2 linked regions of the Caenorhabditis elegans genome follow. The protein of the gene in region 1 purifies or fractionates together with the protein of each later gene. This does not show direct contact. Each region holds a gene or a part of one and is shown on either strand. Other genes may lie near its edges.

Region 1 (10,248 bases):
CGACTCTTTGCTATTCACTAAGTCCAACTCATTCTTTATAAACGTTTCATTTTGCCACGTCCTCCTCGATGGTATCGACCTTGCTGGCATTTCTTGTTTGTAAGTCATTCCCCAGTTTGTCAGATTTCTATTGATTTCCAATGGTGGGTCAGCTTGCACTTGAGTCGCCTAGAAATTTATTTTTGTGAACTTAAAAGGAAAAGCCCAGGAAAAGTTTTTTGTTGAACTTTTAAACCTACATCATCACTCTTTGAATGAAGATGGAAGGCGTTTTGATTGGGAGGAAGCATTTGTTGTGGTGGCTGTTGTGGTGGCTGCTGTTGCATCGGCATTTCCATATCTAACGGCTTATTGGCTGTTTGAATGTAGCCCATCTGCGCGGGAGAGCCCTCCATATTGAAGCCGGGTTGACTGGTGGCAGGCATTCCATTAAAACCCATTCCGGGTTGAGGCATCTAGGAAATTAAATGTGTTGCAATGTGGTGTTGGGCTCATAATGGGTGGTGGAAATTGAAATGAATAGCTTTTGATATACTTTTTCCATTTTTTTCTCAAATTTCAATTACATTGATTTTAACGAGACGTTTTGCATGATTTTAAGAAAATTATTGGACAAGTGATACATGTTCTAAAAGCTAACACAATGGGCATTTCAAAATAATGGCAGCGTGTTCTATGTTAAGACCATAACTTCTCTTTCCACGTGTCAGTTAAGTGCTGCCGAATTCCTTATTTTTGAGTTGAACTAGTTTCCCTAGTGAATGGTAAGTAGTTCATATGAACCTAGTGAGTACTCGTTAATTATAAATCTAGTTAAAACCGTCAGGACAATATTGCACATTCAAGACTCACCTGTTGATAACCCTGTTGTACTGGAATCGGCTGCATGTGATGTGGAATGAAATATCCTTCCGGAGTGTATGCACCAACTGGCTGCACTGGCATTTGTCCCTGCTGCATTTGCATTTGTTGTTGCTGTTGTTGATAATCACCGGGGTACATTGATTGAACTATATAGCCCGCGTGGTTGATCATTCCGTTGCTCAAGCTGTTTCGGAGCTGAAATCGTTTTTATTTAACTATTGCAAGTCACTCACGGGGGGGGGGGGGGGGGGGTTTTTTTTTAATTTCCTAGTTATTTAATTTTAGTTGTCAGTTTTTTTTTGCTCTTAAAAATATGAACTGTGAAATTTGAAAACTCATCAAACGTATTAAGATTCATCTCACCAACCTGAGAAGGACTCGCATAGTTGCTCTGAGCTTGAGCCTGTTGCTGCTGCTGTTGCTGCATTTGCTGCTGCATGTAGTAGTCGTGTGGGGTTTGTGGATGTTGAATATAAGACTGTGTCATTTGTGCAGCTGCGTTCATCGGCAATGTCATGTAGTTGGCTGGGTATGTTTGACCGGCTAAAATATGTGTTTGTTTTGGTAATGCGGGAGATTAGGGAGATGATGGGGTTCGCAAGGAGAATGAGGTAAATATTGTAGAAAAGTTTTCAAGAAATTTTTCGAAGGATGCATTCAATTTTCCGATTCTCAAAAACTATATTACAGTATACTCACGAAAGAGCTTGAAATAACTGAGAGAGATCTTACAATTCCCTACATTTTGTACTTTCCAATTTGCGCTCTAAACAGAAAAATTCAGCTAAAAAACTTATTTGAACCTCTCTCGTACTTGCTCCATCAAAACACGCTTCAATAATTCCAATATGTCCTCTGCGATTGAGCAGAACACGGAATGAATTATTCAATTTTCCGGTCAATGAATTTTTATTTTAGTTTTCCGCAATTTTTTTGTTCGGATGCAAATCTGTTCTAGACATTTATTTTTTATGTTCACTCGCATGACTGAGCATGTACTTCGGACGTGAATTCAATTTTTTAGACTTTGAACAGTGTACAAACTACACCGCGAGGTAATCTCTTAATTAATTATTTTTAAACTGAAAATACTCAAAGGCATACCTTGTACCACACTAGGCTGGGAAGAGGCTCTGTTCAATCTGGCCGATTGAGTTCCATCCTCTCCTTCTTCTAATCCCACTCTCAGCTCCAACGCTCGTAGTTTTGCTTCAAAATGGTCGTACCACTCCTCTTTTCCTTTGCTCGTTTGGTCGTTGTCGTTTTTTCGGAGTGCAAAAAATGCGGCCTTGCTTTTTTCGAGTCGCTCCGTCTCGTTCGCAGAGCTAAAACTAATTAAAAGTAGGAAGCGAAAATAACGCAGTTTTTTAATTGGCATATATTGACCAGCGCATTATTCAAGTTCAAAAACCGTTGATGTGAATCAAAATTTCTCCACTGTCATTTTTCTAAAGGGAAGTTTTTTTCGATTTTCAAACAAAAAACTCACCTCATCTGAGCCATCTGTTGATCATGCTTTCTCCGTTTTTCCTCCATGGCCAGCCGAACAGATGCAGTCACACTGCCATCATATCGATTTAGTTGAGCCGTTCCAGCTTGGTTTTCAAAACCCTGCAATGATTTTATTTTTATGTAAAATTTTTTTTATATAACAACTCTGTTTACATGTTTTAATTTTTTTTAGCATTTATTTTAACTTTATAAAACCCGCTTGTTCCTGCTCAATTCAAATATTTTTAACTTACAAAATATAAGTATCTCTCTATAATATTAACGCGAGCTCAAGTTTAAAGAAGGACTTTCATTATTTGACAAAAATAAAAAAGAATTCATTGAGTTCGAGAACGTGTAGTGCAGAATTCTCGAAAAAAAACCGTCAAATTTGTGTAACTCAATATTGGAAATTTAGACTAAAATATAAGAGCGAATGTTTTTAAAAATTAATAATCTCACCAACTACACGTGAGCTTTAACAAATAAAAAGTTTTCATACCTGCCGAATGGTTTGAAAATCGGTCACAGAATCTTGATCCATGCTCCTCCTCTGTAGTGCAATCGATGCTGGACGAGAATAAAATAAACTGTCCTGGCTCATTCTGCTCACTGATCTCGACGGGCCTTGAGAATGTGAAACAGCTGGAGGTGGATTATACATTCTTGGTCGATTCCTATTGTGCATTGAACTTCTCGCCGCCGCATTTGCAGCTCTAAGGTCAGGAATTGCAGATGCCGGCACGAAGCGTCGAGGAGAAGGTCCGATGCGTGGTGTTTCAACTAGAATCATCATTTTTCAGTAATGGTGGAAGAGTGAGATAGGTTGAAGTAATTACCTGGTTCTGGTGTAACTGGCGGTTCGAATTGAACGAATAGGTCAGCAAGGAAGGCGTTCACATTCATTTGTAGTGAGTCACGCAGGTACAGCAGATCTTCGATCTCGAAGTGGAATGGGTCAACTGCGAGGTGGTGTCGGCAGAATAGTCTGGAAATGGGGAAAGAGGGTGTGAAGTGACACACAAAATGAGGTGACTTACTGTAACAACATTAAGTTATATTGGCAGTCTCTTGTGGTCGCTGAATCGTTGAACGAAATATCTGAAATATTTCATTTTAAAATTAGTTTGTAGTGGATAGATTTGAGTGTCGCCTTGGGCTTATATTGAAGTTATCACTTAATTGTCGACCAAATTTAACTGAATATGTTGTACTCAAAAATTGTCAAGCTTAAAGTGTCTCAAACCTAAAAGTCATGGTCCTAATCTTAAGAGAGAGAAAAACTCACCAGCTACAGGCATTTCATGCGGTCTGTACCAATGCAATAGAGCACACAAACACTGCCCATCTGAAATATCCTCGTACAAATCCTCCATTTCCGGAATATTCGTGTTCGAATCCTCCCGTTCTACATCGTCTCTAACTAGAAGACATATTTTATTTATCCAGAAAAGTAGAGCATCCACACTGTCGATGGGCTTTTCGCTGGGCTCCACAGCTGTGTGACGGCTGGAATAAGGGAAAGTGGAATGAGGAAGTTTTGTTGCGATAAATAAGAAAATAAATTCCATTAAACTGGTTAGTTTTTGATAGCATCAATTTAACTGCTGGGGAATTTTTTGAAAAGGTGGGTGTGCTAAAATTTTAAGAAACCTAAATAGCAGAGTTACTGAAAATATGTGAATTTAGCATCAAATCGAAAGCATGATTTTTTTTTTTTTGAAAATTCTGTCTCACGTGTTTTTGTTATAGTCATTAACAGCTTCAACGCAAGAGTTTGAGTTTGATAAAATTAACCAACCTTACTGCTTCAACCACCCGACTGACTGGGATAACATCTCGAAGGTGTGCCATCATAAGAGCATCAATTATTGCAAGGTGTGCAGACTGAAATTAAATTTTTTTGCAATTTTTCAATACCATTTTCAGAAGTAGACTGTGTAATTTTGTGTACCATTTAAAGAATCTTAAAAATTTGTAATGAAAAACGGTACTTGTGTATATCCTTCCATTTTTTTAATTTGGACAAAAAGTGTTTGAAAATTATGTTTAAAAAAGTTCAATCTATTTCAGAACAGCACGTACTTATGCTGAAAGATATGAAAAAAATCTTCAAAACTACCTGAAATTTGTGACTTGTCAAGTAAGATTTTGGCAGTTTTAAACTTTTTAAGGAACTTTTTGAGGTACTTTCAAAATTTCCAATGCATAACTAACTTATTTTCATGTCAAATAAAACAAAATGATCAATTCCGTAGGTTTTCAAACACCGCTAAACAAAACTATATTTTTGGAAAATTAAAAAAATTTTCTCGTACCCTTTGGCAGCTCCCTAAAATAGAAAGTGCATTCAAAGTCTTCAGAACAAAAAATTATGTTTTTAATCATAAAAAGCCTTACCATATTAAAAGGAGCCGAAGCAACCAGCTGCGCCTCCTCCACCAATTCATTTCCGTCGTGCAATACATCGATTCCATAATCGGTCAGCACCGCGAGAACTGCTCCATGGCCTTTCTGAATTTTAAATTAATAGTGAACAAGCTGCTCATCCTCGAACAAACTCACAGTAACTAGCGCTGACTCCTTGAATATCTTAGCAGCAGCTTGTGCGTACAACGAACCATTGCACAGGGCTCCGACGACGGCTTCGTCAATTTGAAAGTGTCCCTGAATAATTGATGAGGTTGTTGTGGAATTTTGGTTTTGGAGATATTGGGATACTTTTTTTTGTTTCGTTACAGAAAAACTAAGATTTCTGATAGTTAAGCAGCTTCTAAAAAGTTATTTTCAAAAGCTATTCAATTTGGAATTTCAGCAGTTAATTAGAAATAATAATATTTCTGATGAAAAATTTGAAAATTGTGGTTTTCAAATTTGAATTTATTAGTTTTTTTTAAATTTAAGCACGAGTCAAATAAAAACTTACATTTTCATCCCTCTGCACTCCGTCCCTTAATTTATCCGGCATATCTCGTTTTTCTTCGTAAACCCGTGAAATTAACCATCGAATCGATGCAGCTAGTTTACCCTGAAATTCCATCAATTTTATCATCCTATTCGCATTTCTTTTTGGTGCACTTGTTGCGGGGTGATGTTTCATTTCGTATTCTATTGCCCGGCAGAGGACACTGCTAAAAATGCATTGCCTCTGACAGAATTCTTCAAAAAGTTTTGGGCATTGCATTTTTAGGTCTGCGTTTCGCTGAGTTGGATAAACGGGGTGAAGGAAAAAAAGTACAATTTAAATTGAAAAAATTCAGAGTATTCAAAAAAAAATGTCAGTGTTTAACATTTAAAAAATTCCAGCAATCTTTTTTTCAACTTTAGGTTTAGAAAGAGTGTTTTTCAAATCTTAAAAAATTAGTTTAACTAAATGTTTTGGTTGAATTACCATTTTCATTATCTAGACCTCGATACCTTTTGGGGTAAGTCTTATTTTTTATTGATTTATTTTACTCGATTAGTATTTTTAATAAGTTTAAATTTTTTTACTATTTAAAAATGCCCACAAACCTCATTTTCATCATAATCCTCTATTGCAAGCAGAGCCGGCAAAGGGAAGTCCATTGCAAGGACCCCTGGGTTTCTGAAACAAAAGAAACGTTACAAGTAGCAGTGTAAAAAACGAAAAAATGGAACAAGATAGAGGATATGCGACTTCGATTTCACAACAAACACAAGTGGTTAAACAAGAGAGAGGGAAAAGAAGTAGAGTCGCAAAGGGAAGTTTTGAGGAAGAAACTCTTTTTTTCAGATTTTTTTAAAGTGTAACCTATTTTATATACCGAAAAGGGCAGGAAAAATTCGAACTTTGTGTGGTGTTGGGCATAATAATGTGTTGTTTGGTGGTTTGGGGGTTTGCGAATGAGACCACCACCACTTCACTGCTTTGCATAGGATGAGGACGGACGGGGGCCGGGGTTAACAATGGCCGAGAGAAACCCGCCGAGGGCTCGTGGTTGGGGGGTGCCCTCGCCGCATCTCACTTGTCGGCCCTGGGTTCGGGATGGTGGAGGCGACGAAGAACAAGAAAACGAGAGAAGAGAAAGGAAAAGGAAACGACTGGGGCACACACACACACACACACACACACACACACACACACACATACAACACAGCAAAAGATGACTGCTGCTGGCTGCTGCTGACCGTTTCGCCTCCCTCCCTCAACTGGCGGTGGTCGAGATAGAGGGAGAATGTAGGAGAGGAGCAAGAGACGCAGAAGGTTTTTTCTACACATGAAGAGGTATTATTCACGGTTTCGTATTGATTTTGCCTTAATTATAATTAGATTGGAGCTTGCTGCGGTGTTCTCCGAGGTTTTTTAAATCGGTGGGCAGGTGGAAATATTTTGTCATAGTTTTTCGAAGTATCAGGTTGTCCCATAAGTTTTTGTACTATTTTTTTTTTGAAAAAAATTTATTTCTCTCAAGCGACAAGTAGTACTATTCACACAAGTATTCACCATTAGTGTCCACCACTTGTTGCCATTTACTAGGTAACATCATGATGCCACGGGAGAAGAAATCCGGCGAACGCGATGAGAAGAAAGTGGAGAGTTCAGTTTTGAGATGCTCTTCGTCGTCGAATTGCTTGTCGCGCATGTAGTCACTGAGAGACAAGAACAAATGGTAGTCGGTTGGTGCAAGATCTGGAGAATATGGTGGATGCGGTAAAACAGTCCAACCAAGATCATGCAGCTTTTGGAAAGTCTTCTTGGCGACATGAGGCCTAGCATTATCGTGAAGAAAATATAGTTTTTCATATTTTCCGTTGGTCTTTTCTGCAACTCGGTCCAATTGGGCACAATAGTAATCAGCAGTGATAGTTTTATTAGTTGGCAACAATTCCCAGTGCACGGGTCCTTGAACACCCCACCAGACACAGATCATAATCTTTTTTGGGTGAAGATCAGGCTTTGGCGTCGGTATTCCTTTCTCACCGATCGGAAGCCATTGACGTTTTCTGGAATGGTTAACATAGAGCACCCACTTCTCATCTCCAGTAACCAGATTGTTCAGCCAATCGAACTTTCGACGAAAAGTTAGAAGTTGAGTACAAACGTTGACCCGAGTGAGCTTCTGTGATGCCGAAAGTTCATGAGGCACCCAAATTCCAAGTTTTGAAGTAAAACCAAGGCGACCCAAGTGACGTGCAATTGTGCTATGACAACACTCAAGCTTCTCTTCCATTTCACGAAGACTAAGACGAGGCTCTTCCTCCACCAGCTTCACTAGGTCTTCTTCATTTAACTCTACCGGTCGCCCAGAACGTTCTATTTCTTCGAGACTGAAGTCGCCGTTCTTGAACTTTTGAAACCAACTCTTTGCTGTATTATAAGAGAGTGCTCCCTCACCCATCGCACCGCATATGTTTCGTTCCGCTTCCATTGCTGAATGACCAAGACGAAATTCATAAAGAAGAAGCAATCTAACGTCTCGACGTTCAAGTTTGATGATTGTCATCGTGGCAAAGTAGAAATGGATGAAATGAATCTTTTCTGAAAGGGGACGACCCGACCTTGACACGACCTACGATGAAAAAATTTTAAAACTTTCTAGAAGTTTTGGAAAAATATTTGAAAAAAAGTACAAAAACTTATGGGACAACCTGATAGAAGCTCAATGAGAAAAATTTACAATTATGTTTTTGAGGACCTCATTAAAAAACCAGTTTTGCACGACAAGTTTAGCAGCTCAAATTTTGATTATAGTTTTTAATTTTTCAGAATATTTTTCATTGGCATACACCGATATATTCAACTTCCAACAGAAAGTTGGGAATAAAAACTGTTTCGAGTTTAAAAATTAAGAAAATAAAATCTAAAACTGTCAGAAACAAGATTAGTGAAGGAAACTCTCTGAAAATTAAATAAATTCATAACTTGTATTTTTGTGAACTGTAAAAATTTCAATAAAATAAATTTGTATTTTTCTTAACAGAAAAATATGGAATTTTTAAAGATGATCTTAACAAAATATTAAAGATGAGTTCAAGAAACGCTACAGTCAACAAAAATTTTTGGAATAAACTAGAATTTTTATTTATTAGAAGTACATCAGCATGTGTCAAAATACCTGATTAACTGCAGCCAATAAATGCTAGTTATTGTCTTCCTCATGAACCTCATAAACTATAATAACATATATTACCTACTTATACAATAATTGACACATTTAAAGGTTCACTTTCAGATGTTTGCACACTTGGGAGAAATTATATGGAAAAAAAAGAGAACTCGAGGGTTTATTTGCAGTTTTTGAGGGTGTTTGCCAACAACTCTCGCGTACAGATGTTGAAATCGAATTTGGACCCAAGAGGAAAAATATAGGAAGGTCTACGCCTAGATGGTGTATTAGGATTTTAGTAGTTCTAAGTTTGAGTGCACCAAACAACTATCACGCATGCTGAGTTGGAGCTGAAACATGAACAATAATTTTAAAATGAAGATGAGACAACATTTGATTGAAATTGAAGGCAAATTATAAAAATGTAAGCATATTCTACTACGTTAGGGCTACCAATTATAAAAGTTTGAAAGCTTGCTAGCATCGTTGTGCTCTAGATTGCTCAAAATTATTTAAAACAAACCTAATTCTTTTGTTTAATATTTTTAAGCCAAGCCACTAATTAACTGTCTGCCTAAAAATATTTCAGTCGCCTAATAATGTTTTCCAATACGTTTACCATCCATTTCTTTCAAACGTAATAATTTAATCGAAACGTGAAACTGATTTGCATTTTTAGACTTAGGAAAGCAACAATCTTAAGAATAATACGAACAACCTACAATTTGCATCAAAATCTACACAAGTAACAGTTCACTTAAAACCCGTCTACCTATGTTCACTAGTTTTAGATTAACAATTTGATAATGATTTTCGTGTTTAGTAAAGTTTTGGAAATTCAATTCATTTTTTCAATGAATCAAAATATGAACAGAAAACTGGACCACACATACTCTGTTCAATTCTGATAACATCATTCTGCCCCTCATTTCTCTCTTCCATTTGAGGGAGAGAAAGACCTCATTAATCAAGCAACAAGTAGTTCTCGCGCTGCGCATCCCAGTGTCCTCCCACCAACTATGAGAATTGAGTATCGATTCAGGCATTTAACTATTTTGCAGAAAAATCCGAACAAAACAGGTTATGCTAATTGTTGTTTCACTCGCTGTCTGCTGCTCCGTTTATGTGAACCCCGTGTTCCGTGAGAGCACTAAGATTGGCAAATAAAAGTTGGAGCACTGAATATGGGAACACACTGAGAGTCTTGAGAAGATAAATAGGCATAATGTTAGAAACAATAAGGGAAGAAACATGTTGTGATATATGGAGAGAATTGGGAAGAGAAAAAAAAACGTTCAATACATTTAAATGTGTTTTTTTTTTGAAAAAAAATGGCTCATACTTAAATAAATATAAAGCCAATAAAATACGAAACTTTCATATTTCTATTTATTAACGCTGTCACAATCTCTAAAATGTTACATTAGAAGCAATTATTTTTAAAAATGTTCGAATTCTAAAACTAAATGAAATTGTGAACATACTCTAAAATCATTAACATCAACGAATCCAATTAGACTAAAAATATCTCCAAATTGTCAAAAAAAGTTCATATGAACTTTTTTCATTAAATTTTCTTCCTACATCCCTATATCAATTCTAATTTCTTAAACGTGTCCCAAAATGTCTTTTCAAATATCCATCTTCTTCGATGTTTTTCACTGCTTTAATTAGCGGAATGATCGCAACAGCACGAGGATTGATGCGATTATAACTATTTTGGATGCATCTCGTTTCTTAAATGTGACAAAAATTGGGGAAAAATTGGGTGGAAAAATGTCAAAAGAAAAGAGGATTAGACAACAAAGTGGGGAGGGTTTAAATG
Region 2 (10,248 bases), on another chromosome or scaffold:
CAGCTTTTTCGTGGAACGGCCGCATCTTCTCGTCGAATAAATCACGTTCTCCTTGAATTTTGTACACTTTTAAGCAGTTCTCCAGTTTTTTAATGTTATTCTCTGTCAGTTGAACAGTTTTTCGAATTTCATCCGCATTCACTCGGGACGATTCAATGCAATGATGGAAGTCGGTGAGAGCAAATCTTAAATTTTTTAAATTTTGAGAAAGCAAGTAAAGGAATCTACTCACCGTGCTCGTCTTGGATCGATTCTCTTCATTTCTTCAATTAAATGATGTAGAAGAGTATGCCGATTATCGACATCTTTTGTATCAACCAGTCTTGTCAGCATTCTCATGTCGAACGCGTAAGCACTCGAATAGTTTTTTGTCGCTCCGCCCATAAAGTTTCCAGTCGCCAAAACAAGTTTCAAAAATGTTCGGAATCCTTCAGATGCTCGTACTTCTTCGCACGCTTCCATCACTGACGACATGGCTGGTTTCAGTTCATTCAACACTTCAGAGAATCGCATTTTGAATAGAACCAAGTCGAGACGAAGCGGAAGACCTTGAATTTGGAGCAGACGAGTGACAAATTGTTCACCCTCGGGCATTTCCTCAAATTGAGCCTTGTTCACCGCTCTCAGCTTGTCAATAAGCTCCTTCTCCACTGGCATTGCTGATCGAAGTTGCTCCAAGAATCCGACAGTTAAAACCTTTTCGTTGACTTCCAAAATCGCCAGCTTGAGCTCTGAATGCGACATTTTGATTGATCCTTGAAGAATGCCTGCAAGAAAAAGATCATAAAAAAGGATATACTTCTTCGAGTTTACCCAATTTTTGAAGTAATTTATCGTCATGAATGACTTGTGCTGTCTTCACTTTCTTTTTGCTATTCAAGACACCACCAAGAGTACCACTATTTGCAGCAGGTTTCGTGGCGAATTTGGTTCGTAAACGATCGAACATTCGATCGCTGGTCAGCTGTTCTTCGTTTGTTCCAACCCAGAACGACTCTCTTGGAATATCCCGAGGGTTGATAGTATGTGCTCCCCATGGGAACTTTCTCATGGGACCATCAACCTTTGGAACCTTCTTGGGTGGAAGGTAATCAGGTATCACGGGAGCCATCGGTGCGAACATGCCTGGAGGAGGTGGTGGTGGCGGTCCGCCCTTGAACCCTCCCGGTGGTGGTGGAGGAGGTGGAGGTGGACATCCTCCAGGAGGCGGCGGAGGTGGTGGAGGACCTCCAGATATTGGAGGCAATCCTCCCGGTGGAGGCGGCGGCGGGGGTCCTCCGGTGATTGGAGGAAGACCACCAGGAGGAGGAGGTGGAGGCGGCCCTCCTGTGATTGGTGGGAGACCTGGAGGTGGTGGTGGACCTCCAGTTATTGGCGGTAGAGCTGAAGATCCACCAGCAGATGTGGATGGAGCCGACAAGTTCATCTTCGTTGGCGGAGGAAGAGGTATTTTTGGATCATTTATCTGAAAAATAACATGTTTCAATCAAACCGCTTCTAAAAAAGTAAATATACATGTTTTCTCAGTTCTTCAGCTTCTTTCTGGAAATCACATAATGTTTTCCAGTATTCTCCTTGCATTGCAACAGCTTCCTGTTTGGCCGACGTGGCTTGTCGAACTTTTTTGGCCATCTCTTCGTCTTGCATTTTATCTGTAATTAAAATTATTTAATTTTTCAATATACTCTCGATCACAAACCAATGATCTCGGCCACAGGAACCTCAAACACAAACTTATAATCCGCTTGTGGATCGATTGGAGTTCGATGCAGAAGAATATCTGATATGGCTGTCTCGATGAGTTTCATATACGATCTTTTCGTCGACATATCCTCATTAGTAAGAGTCATAAGCTGTAAAATTGAAAGGAGCACTGTCTCGGTTCCGGTGGCTTCAGAGTTGGCGGCAAGAAGTTCAAAACATCCATCCAAGGTATCATATTCTCCTTTTACATTTTCAAGCTTCCCCATCAGTGTTTCCAAATCTGCATTGTGCTCAGTGAGCATGTTCTGAGCAACATCCCGAATTTGCGAGTTTACAGTTTCAGATGTAGTGAATTTCTGGAAAATATCTGGGATAAGATTATTTTTCTGAAACAATCAAATTTACCTCAATGTACTTGTGAAGTTTATCTTTTGCAGCTTCACTCCTTAATCTCATTCGTGCTTGCCACATCGTCTCTTCTGTCCACATTTGATCATCACTTATGTTACGATCGACACCATTGATCATCATATTTATCATCAGAAGTACGTACATTCCTTGTTTTGGATCGCGGGATTCTAGAAAATCGATGCAGCTGATGAGGGGCCGAAATCGAGAAACTGGTTCATTGAGCCGTTTGGATTCAGCTTTAGCTATTAAGGACAACTCCATGAACATCTTTTGTTGACTGAAATGCATTTCAATTAAATAAGATTTGAACTGTTCAAAATTTTTACCCAGTCATTTCAATCGGAGTTGACAGCGTATCATGTTGAACAAAAATCAACGTATAACATGTTCTAACCACATCAACCCGAATAGCTCGAATCTCAGCTGCTTCATGATCGTTTTGCTCTCGCCTGTTCAGGACGCATAATGTTTGAATGAGAAGTGAGTATACAGGAGAGTTCCGTCGCAATACAAGAACAAGGCCAACCTGAAATAGTGTAGAATTAGAATTAGACTGAAAACATACAAACTTACATGTGTATTAATTAGCGTTCGGACACATCTGACGATTTCTTGCAAGAAATCAATCAAATCAAGCTCATATTTCGAGCCAACTTCACTGCTTCTCAGTCGTTTCAAGACTAATGAGTAGAGACAGCAGATAAGATCAGCTCCAGTGCGACCAGACTCGTCATGAACTTCTACGGCGAACTGAAAATAAATATGTATTTTAATAGTAACAATATCTATCTTAAAAAACGAACCTTATTAAGAAATGAAACACCTTGACCAACTAGCTGAACCCGTACAGTAACAATATCCTGCTTGCATTCCGGAATGTTTTTCGTTTTCAATATTTCTCCCAATACTCGTACAACCCATTCCGGAGACCTTCCCTTCGCCTGATTATCTTGTTTTCTCGAATTCTCAATCATCATTTTCATTTGATCAAGTGGCGTATTAGAAATAATTTTATCAGCTTCGGGCAGACCTTTGTCGAGCTGCAAAATTAGTAGAAATATAATAAGAACTCTATAAAGAATATTACCATAATTTTCCTGAATTCTTCTCGTATTTCGTCTTCAGTTCCTGACAAGGCAAATGATTCTCCTGGAACTATTTTATATTGAAAATGGAGATCTTCGAAATAATTCAGTTTAATGCTCGTTTAAAAGTGAAATACGGTCAATGGGAAAACAATTTGAAAAACGCTTCCTATGACGCTAAAATTATTAAATATCATAATAACATGTTTTAAATCTACAGTCAAAAATAAGTGAAAGAAAAGTGGCAAAAACTCACAATCAGTTTTCACCGTTTTTTCACAAATCACATTGTGAAATAATAAAAAAATTTCAAAATATTTTTGAGAAGTTCTATGACATTTTGACATCTTAGCACCATAGGAACGGGTTTTAATTTCAATATTGACCGTACTCTACCTTTAACTAGCGACATAATTTTTATTTTCAAGATTAAGAAAAAAAATATTACCTGAAGAATTTGAAGCAATCGAGAAACCTCCAATACTTTGTGTGCCTGCATATGTACCGTAGTCATTGTTTGAATATGACGATGATGGAACATTCTGAAAATAAGAAAATATACTTGTGGGGAAAATATTAATTTGAGGATTTTGCAAACTCTAATTATTATTATTACTTTTCTCTAATAATAAGATGTTATTTCTGTATTTTTAGGTAGAAGAATTCCCAGATACGAACATTTAATTTCTGTCGTTGTTTTCGTTTAAATCTGCTCGATGAGAACAAATCAGTCCATCTTCCAGAACCATTCGCTCCACTTAAATGAAATGGACTCCTACGACTAGCAAAATCAGCAGCTCCAGCCAACATTGAATGTCTTTCAGCGCTTCTCCTTTTGAATTTCTGATTAGGAACTTGATCTTCCAAGAAATGAGAAACAGTTGCATCTTGTGCACGAGTCGCTTTTTTCTTTTCGCGCAATTGCACACGAGGCTCGTCTATATCAGAATTTTCAGAATTCGGGTGAAGAAACTGCGCTTGTAGAGGGTCTAGAATTGTATTTTTTGGAGCAGAATTAGAAGCTGATGGTGTAGGAGTCACGTCTTCATCGTCATCCGTTGAATAACTTGAATGACGAGATTGGGTAGGAAGTCGATTCATATCAGCTAGTGAAGCTACACGTGGCGTGTCAATTGACTCATAATCATCGCTAGACATTTTTAAGCTGGAAATGTTTCAAACTGAACGAGATTTTGAACGGAACGAATTGAATTAATAAAGTGGAGCGGATTACCGAAACGGTCAAAATAACCTCAATACAGGTAATAAAATCTAATCGTAAATGAAGGTAAAACCGTGAATTGAATTGAAATTGTATTGACAAGTGCAGAGAAATCAAAAACCAGGGAGAAAAATAGTGAAGAAATGAATAACCGATTGGAAAATAATTTTCTTACGAAAAATAGAGACTTTGTTATTTTCCATATACAGAAAACCAACTAAAAATTGAAGGCAATCAGCGAACTCTAGAAAAGTGAGAAGAAGGGGAAAAAGAGAAGTGGAATGTCATCTGATTCTTGGGGAGAAAAATACAAAAATGAAATCTATTCAAATTGAATGGCAGGCAAATCGACAGGGCATGCGGGTCGTTGGATGAAAAAGTGAGAAATGGAGGAAATGTGTGAGAACCTAGTGATAAAAGAACAAAATAAATATAAAATAAACACAGTCACTTCGGTATTTGGAGAAAGCGAAAAAGGGAGAGGAAGAGAATTTGAGAAGTGCTCCGGAAAACAAGAAAATGAACTCGGGAATGGAGATTAGCTCATTCTTCATTAAGTTTTGAAATAATATGTTTTCAGCCAGCATATAATTTGCTTAAAATCTAGTATCTGAGAACAGCCTATTTAATTTAAACTCTCACGTTTTCGCGGAAATTCATAAACTGCAATCCTACATTTTAAGATATTTATTACACATCGTTGAGTTGATTGGGATTTTCGTCCTCATAAATAAAATATATTTAAAAGGAATCCAACTACTTGTTTTTTGGCGGCTAACATAAAGCTCGTTCATTCTTGAAGGAAATTTGACACTGTTTTACAGTATGCAAATCCCTTGCTCTCTTCTCTTTTTTGTCTGATTTTTCCCGCCAAATGGGTCATTGGGCACATGTGAAGGAGATAAGAGGACTCATGGAGAAAGTAGAGAAGGAGAGACGGTCAAAATGGAGACTCATGTCAAGTGGACAGGCTGGTGGTGCTTTTTGAGCATATGATTATCATAGACATATCACTGTTGACAGAAATATGAATGATAGCGTGTTCGCCGGCCGGATGCTCTACAATGTGTATTTTCTATTCACACATGCATGAAGTCACTGCCGATCGTTCAAAATACTGAAGTGCAAATATAAATTTTAAAGAAAATTACTACATGTGCAATGATCGCTTAATTTCACGAATGATAGAACACCTTAAAATGTCTAAAAATGTTTTCTGGATACGTTCTCAAAAAATATGTGATAATTCTACAGTAATCCGATGTTAAAGACTAAGATTTCTTCAAAAAAATTCGGTGCCTCATGCTGGAATCGAACCAGCGACCTTCTGTTTACTAGACAGACGCTCTGCCACTGAGCCAATGAGGCGGACAGAAAACCGGATAGTAAAGCCGTTGAGAAGAGAGAGAGAGAGAGATACGAGACAAAGATATCAAGGCAATTGGGTGGGTTTTTTAACACTGAAAATAAGACAATTGTTTGAAAACTGAAAATTTTGTTAGATAAACTTTCAGAAAGTAACATTTAACTTCAAGAGGAAAGATTTCTATGATCATTGGTAACTGATAAGCTAAAGAGCAAATAGCATAGTCACATAGACATTTAACAGAGAGAGAACACCTAGATATTTGGTAAACACCTAAAAGAAAAACTGTTTAAGTTGCGAGATGTGACATATGAGTTTAGAAACGCTAATTTAAAATTAGGCAATTGTGGGATACACCTAGAATAAGAATAATTTAAACAGATAGAAGTGACACCCTTTCAGTTAAGTCCAAATGGTATACAACCAAACTTTAAAACGAAACGAATTGCGCCAGACAAAACGAAATTCTTCCAATTGACTGACCGATGGAAACTTCTCTCTCTTCAACACAAAACATCTGTCCTCTCGTTCCAAATCGCTAGTGTTAACGGGCGTCAACTGGCCAGATTTGTTTTTTTTAAGGTTTCTGGATACATTTTTTTTTAAAATTATCTAGGATCACCTAGATATCTCTCTCTAGGATATCTAGGATAACGTCTCAACAATTTCCTAGGTTTAAAATAACCGTTGGTTCCGAAGAACTTATGGTACATCGTTAGGCATTTTAATAAGAACAAAATCTATCAAACAGCAATGGAAAAAGTCAAAGGCTCTCTCTCTCTACTGGAGCTTATTGAAAAAAAAACGAAATGAGTAAGATGCCAGATGACCCAATCAACCAACTGCCTGAGGAGAAAGGAAGAAAAAATGGGGAAGAGTATGACTAATAAGAACGGAAAATATTTATCAACATCTAACTAATTCTAAAAATACTAAAAATTCTAAAACTAAAATAGTACACTTTATATCACAAATTGATGAAGATACAGAAATTTAAAAAGCTTTTCAAGTGAGAAATATTCTGAACTACTTTACTACAGCTGGCTGATAACATTGATAAGATTGGAATGTCGCTAGTTCAAAAACATGTTTACATCAAATCGGTAATCATGAGGCTGAATTTGAGGTTCACTTTTTTTTTTGGTAGTTCACAGACAACTTCAAGTAAGTAAGTAAGTAAGTAAGAGAACAGCGGAAATGGTCAAAAATGAAAATGAACATTCTTTCTATTGGGCAATCAAAAAATTCCTGTGAGCCATTCGGACAAAACAAAAACTGAAGAAATAGGCGATTTCTCTACGAAAATGAGCCCCCAAGGACACATGCTCGTAGTACTAGAATAAGGAAAGTCACACGCAAAATAAGAAAGGAACTTTACTACAAGTAAAAAATAAAAATTAATTTACAAAAGGACCTTGAGATGCGAAGTACCACTAAATGAGTAAAAAGACGGGACTTTGGGTCTCGTTACCACTAGCACACTCCTGTTCGGACACAGTGCCTCACGGTCGCCGCCAAAATGTGGTATTCAAATGTCTTCAATGTGAATGGAAGGTGAGATGAATGAAAGAGTATTCCGATCAGTGGAGACGCAGAGAGTGCTTCCCCATGTTTGAGGGTGAGTAAGGGACAGACATCATTTGGCATGGTGCCAGATGTACTTGGTATTGCGGAAGAATGATGTGATCGATGGATTTGTGGCACGTAATAATATTAGCGATTGATAAAAATTGTAAGCTGTGTAAGAACAAAGTAACAACTGTTGTTTTCTACAAAAACCAATCCCATTAGCAACCGATTCTAACAATTATTCTACAGCAAGAGGACGAAACGGTTTAGCGGTTTCTAATAGTGATGTTTTCGAAGAAGACTTTCTTTTCGCTTTAAAATTCAGATAATAGGGGATATAAGGGTGTTTTATTTTGGATATTTTTAAAACAATAAATTTACATACCTTTTTGCCCAGAACTTTTCTATCCTTTTTCGAGGTGCCATTCCCAGAGCTGTTCGAAATGTTGGATGAACTTCCACCGACACCTTCCTTCTTGTCCAGTCCTATCATCTTTTTCATATTTCTGTGCGATGTCTTTCCAAGTTTGGATTTTCAGTCTGAAAAAAAGAAAGAATTGATTTTAAAAAATATGGATAATTGATAGGATAGAAATAGACGACTGAAAACCACAACTGAAATTGAAATTGAGAAACAAATCAGGCATTGGTCAAATTAGACTGATTTGATTTGGTAACAACGGGAACAACAACACGGAGATCGGTGGAATTTATAGAGGAATAGTGTTCCACTAGGGCACGAAAAAAGACTAATGATTTTGAATTTCCAGTAGGAATAGGGGGGGGGGGGGTCTCGACACGAAAATGTCAAAACTTGCAATGAAAACTAGTGAAATATACCTAGACAGCTCTTTAACACTATTTTAAAAATCAAAACAAACATAGTTTCCGCCTAGAAAAAAAGTTTTGTTTGTATTACCGTCCTACCAGCCATGCATAATTCACAAAACAATATGAAAATGATTAACTTTCTAGATTCAAAAAAAGACACGTACGGAGAAAAATACAAAAGTTTCAAAAGTTTGCATCTGATTTCCCTAATTCTTTAAGTGTTATAATCTCCAAAAACCCGACGAATGAAAACCACAACTGAAATTGGAATCTCGAATCATCGAGAAACCCAGAACAATAGTAGTAATCAGTGTGAAAAAAAAATCAGTAATTTTTACGACTACTATAACAATTCAGCACACCGTCTTTTCACAACAATGAAAACAATCGGGAGGCATAGCGTGGACGTCATGATGATACTATTTTGTGATTATAATAACACCTTTCCGCATAGTTGCGCGTTTCACGACGACAGCAAAACTTGCCTGTCTGCGATTGTTGAAAATTGTTTCACGGTAAGATTATGACAGACAGCTGGATGGGTCTCGTGACAGGATTTACATGAGTTTTTACTAGATATTGTTCAATTTTGTAAATTGCTTTTTAATCGTTTCTGATGTACATCAAAAAAGTGAATCTGACTGAATCATGGAAGAAATTTAAAGTTTTATATGAGTTGGAAACGACTTCATGAACCACCTTTAATTTATAAGTAATAACAGTTACTATTATATCGGAGATTCTCAATAGATGTTTTTATTGCCGGGGCACAATTTTTCTGAAAAAGAAAATTCAATATGCAAAAAATCTCTCTCAAAACACTATGGGGAACGAGAAAAATGTTTTGAAAACAGTTTTTCGAAGGAATAAAAAAACGAGAATCACGTTTCGAATAAATAGGAGAACCACGAGCCTCCATATTCAAAAGAAACAAAATTTGAGATGAAAAATTTTAGTGAATTTCTGGAAAAAACTGAGTAGGAAGAGAATTAGAGAAAATGAAAAACTGTCTGGCGGGTAACTTTGACGCCCAGGTGGCGTGGAAGGATGGGAATAAGAACAAAAATATTCATCCTGATGTTTCAATTCGGGCGTTTTTTGTTAAGATACACAATCTTAGTGAATTTCAGTGTTCTGAACAATTATTACTCATTGAATAAGAATTATTTTCTGTAAAAATACCCTAAATTCATGATAACTTCTAACAATACTCTAAACTCAAAAAAAACCGCCGAACTGTTACTTTGTAAACGAAAAATGTTTCCCGATTGGTTCGTACCTTGCGGACCAAGTGAATGGACAATAGATGACCTTTGAAACACTGAAGCACTTTCTATTCCATTCATTTCTCCTGTTTATGCAGATTCTTTTGTATCTTTTACCACAAAAAAGGAAAAAAAAGGGATGAGAATAATAACAGCGCGGAACTGTGATTTGAACGGAGTTTTGCATATTTTCCTATTCTGGAGGTGATAACATTACGAATACTAACAAACTGTATGAAATTTCGAAATATTCGAGGAAAACTTACGATATTTCAAGAAATTTTCACAGGAATAAAAACGAAAACGAGTTTAAAGTTTAAAAAAACAAAAAAACTCGGATCTGTGCGTTATTTCGTCAGTACACCACAGTTCACGCAAAGTTGCGTACATTTCAATTGGCGGTTTTTCAAAAATATTTTTCACATGAAAATGAGGAAAAAAGTACTGTAAACTGTTACAAACTTTTTCAAATATGAGATTTCAGATACAAAGTGCCGTACTATTCATTTATAAAGGCGTTAAAATGATTCATTGTGAAATTTGATACTGTATCTTCAAAAATGGCTCAAAGGGCAAGTGACTAAAAAACTTCTGTATCGAATTTCCAAATCCGAATGATTTCACGAAATCCACACACATTTCAGTGAATGCTTTGTTGAAAACGAAATTCCTTCTCCTGAAATTTCACTTTTCTCCGGCTTTTCCCGATATTACTCTGCGCCTCTTCCTCTCCAACACTATTTTCGAGTGGTATCTCACACATCCATTTGCCGAGATAAATATTAATAATATAAA

What was found. The genes of interacting proteins can lie anywhere in the genome.
Region 2: the proteins of ptrn-1 (region 1) and cyk-1 purify together in Caenorhabditis elegans (affinity purification with western blotting, with the first as the bait; one study listed by BioGRID). This does not show direct contact.

What each region holds. Positions count from the first base shown.
Region 1 is NC_003284.9:17,024,279-17,034,526, forward strand, and holds the start of ptrn-1 (Patronin (microtubule-binding protein) homolog), read right to left. Parts: upstream 5,923-10,248; coding exon 5,869-5,922; intron 5,384-5,868; coding exon 5,282-5,383; intron 5,023-5,281; coding exon 4,921-5,022; intron 4,870-4,920; coding exon 4,756-4,869; intron 4,243-4,755; coding exon 4,157-4,242; intron 3,865-4,156; coding exon 3,644-3,864; intron 3,457-3,643; coding exon 3,396-3,456; intron 3,344-3,395; coding exon 3,195-3,343; intron 3,139-3,194; coding exon 2,858-3,138; intron 2,476-2,857; coding exon 2,354-2,475; intron 2,196-2,353; coding exon 1,969-2,195; intron 1,408-1,968; coding exon 1,232-1,407; intron 1,060-1,231; coding exon 853-1,059; intron 456-852; coding exon 240-455; intron 169-239; coding exon 1-168. UniProt on the Caenorhabditis elegans protein: Required for microtubule stability and anchorage by binding to the minus ends of microtubules.
Region 2 is NC_003281.10:7,024,839-7,035,086, forward strand, and holds the start of cyk-1 (WAPL domain-containing protein), read right to left. Parts: upstream 4,368-10,248; 5' UTR 4,359-4,367; coding exon 3,879-4,358; intron 3,743-3,878; coding exon 3,649-3,742; intron 3,265-3,648; coding exon 3,203-3,264; intron 3,156-3,202; coding exon 2,919-3,155; intron 2,866-2,918; coding exon 2,689-2,865; intron 2,642-2,688; coding exon 2,442-2,641; intron 2,393-2,441; coding exon 2,110-2,392; intron 2,061-2,109; coding exon 1,700-2,060; intron 1,653-1,699; coding exon 1,516-1,652; intron 1,466-1,515; coding exon 814-1,465; intron 768-813; coding exon 233-767; intron 186-232; coding exon 1-185.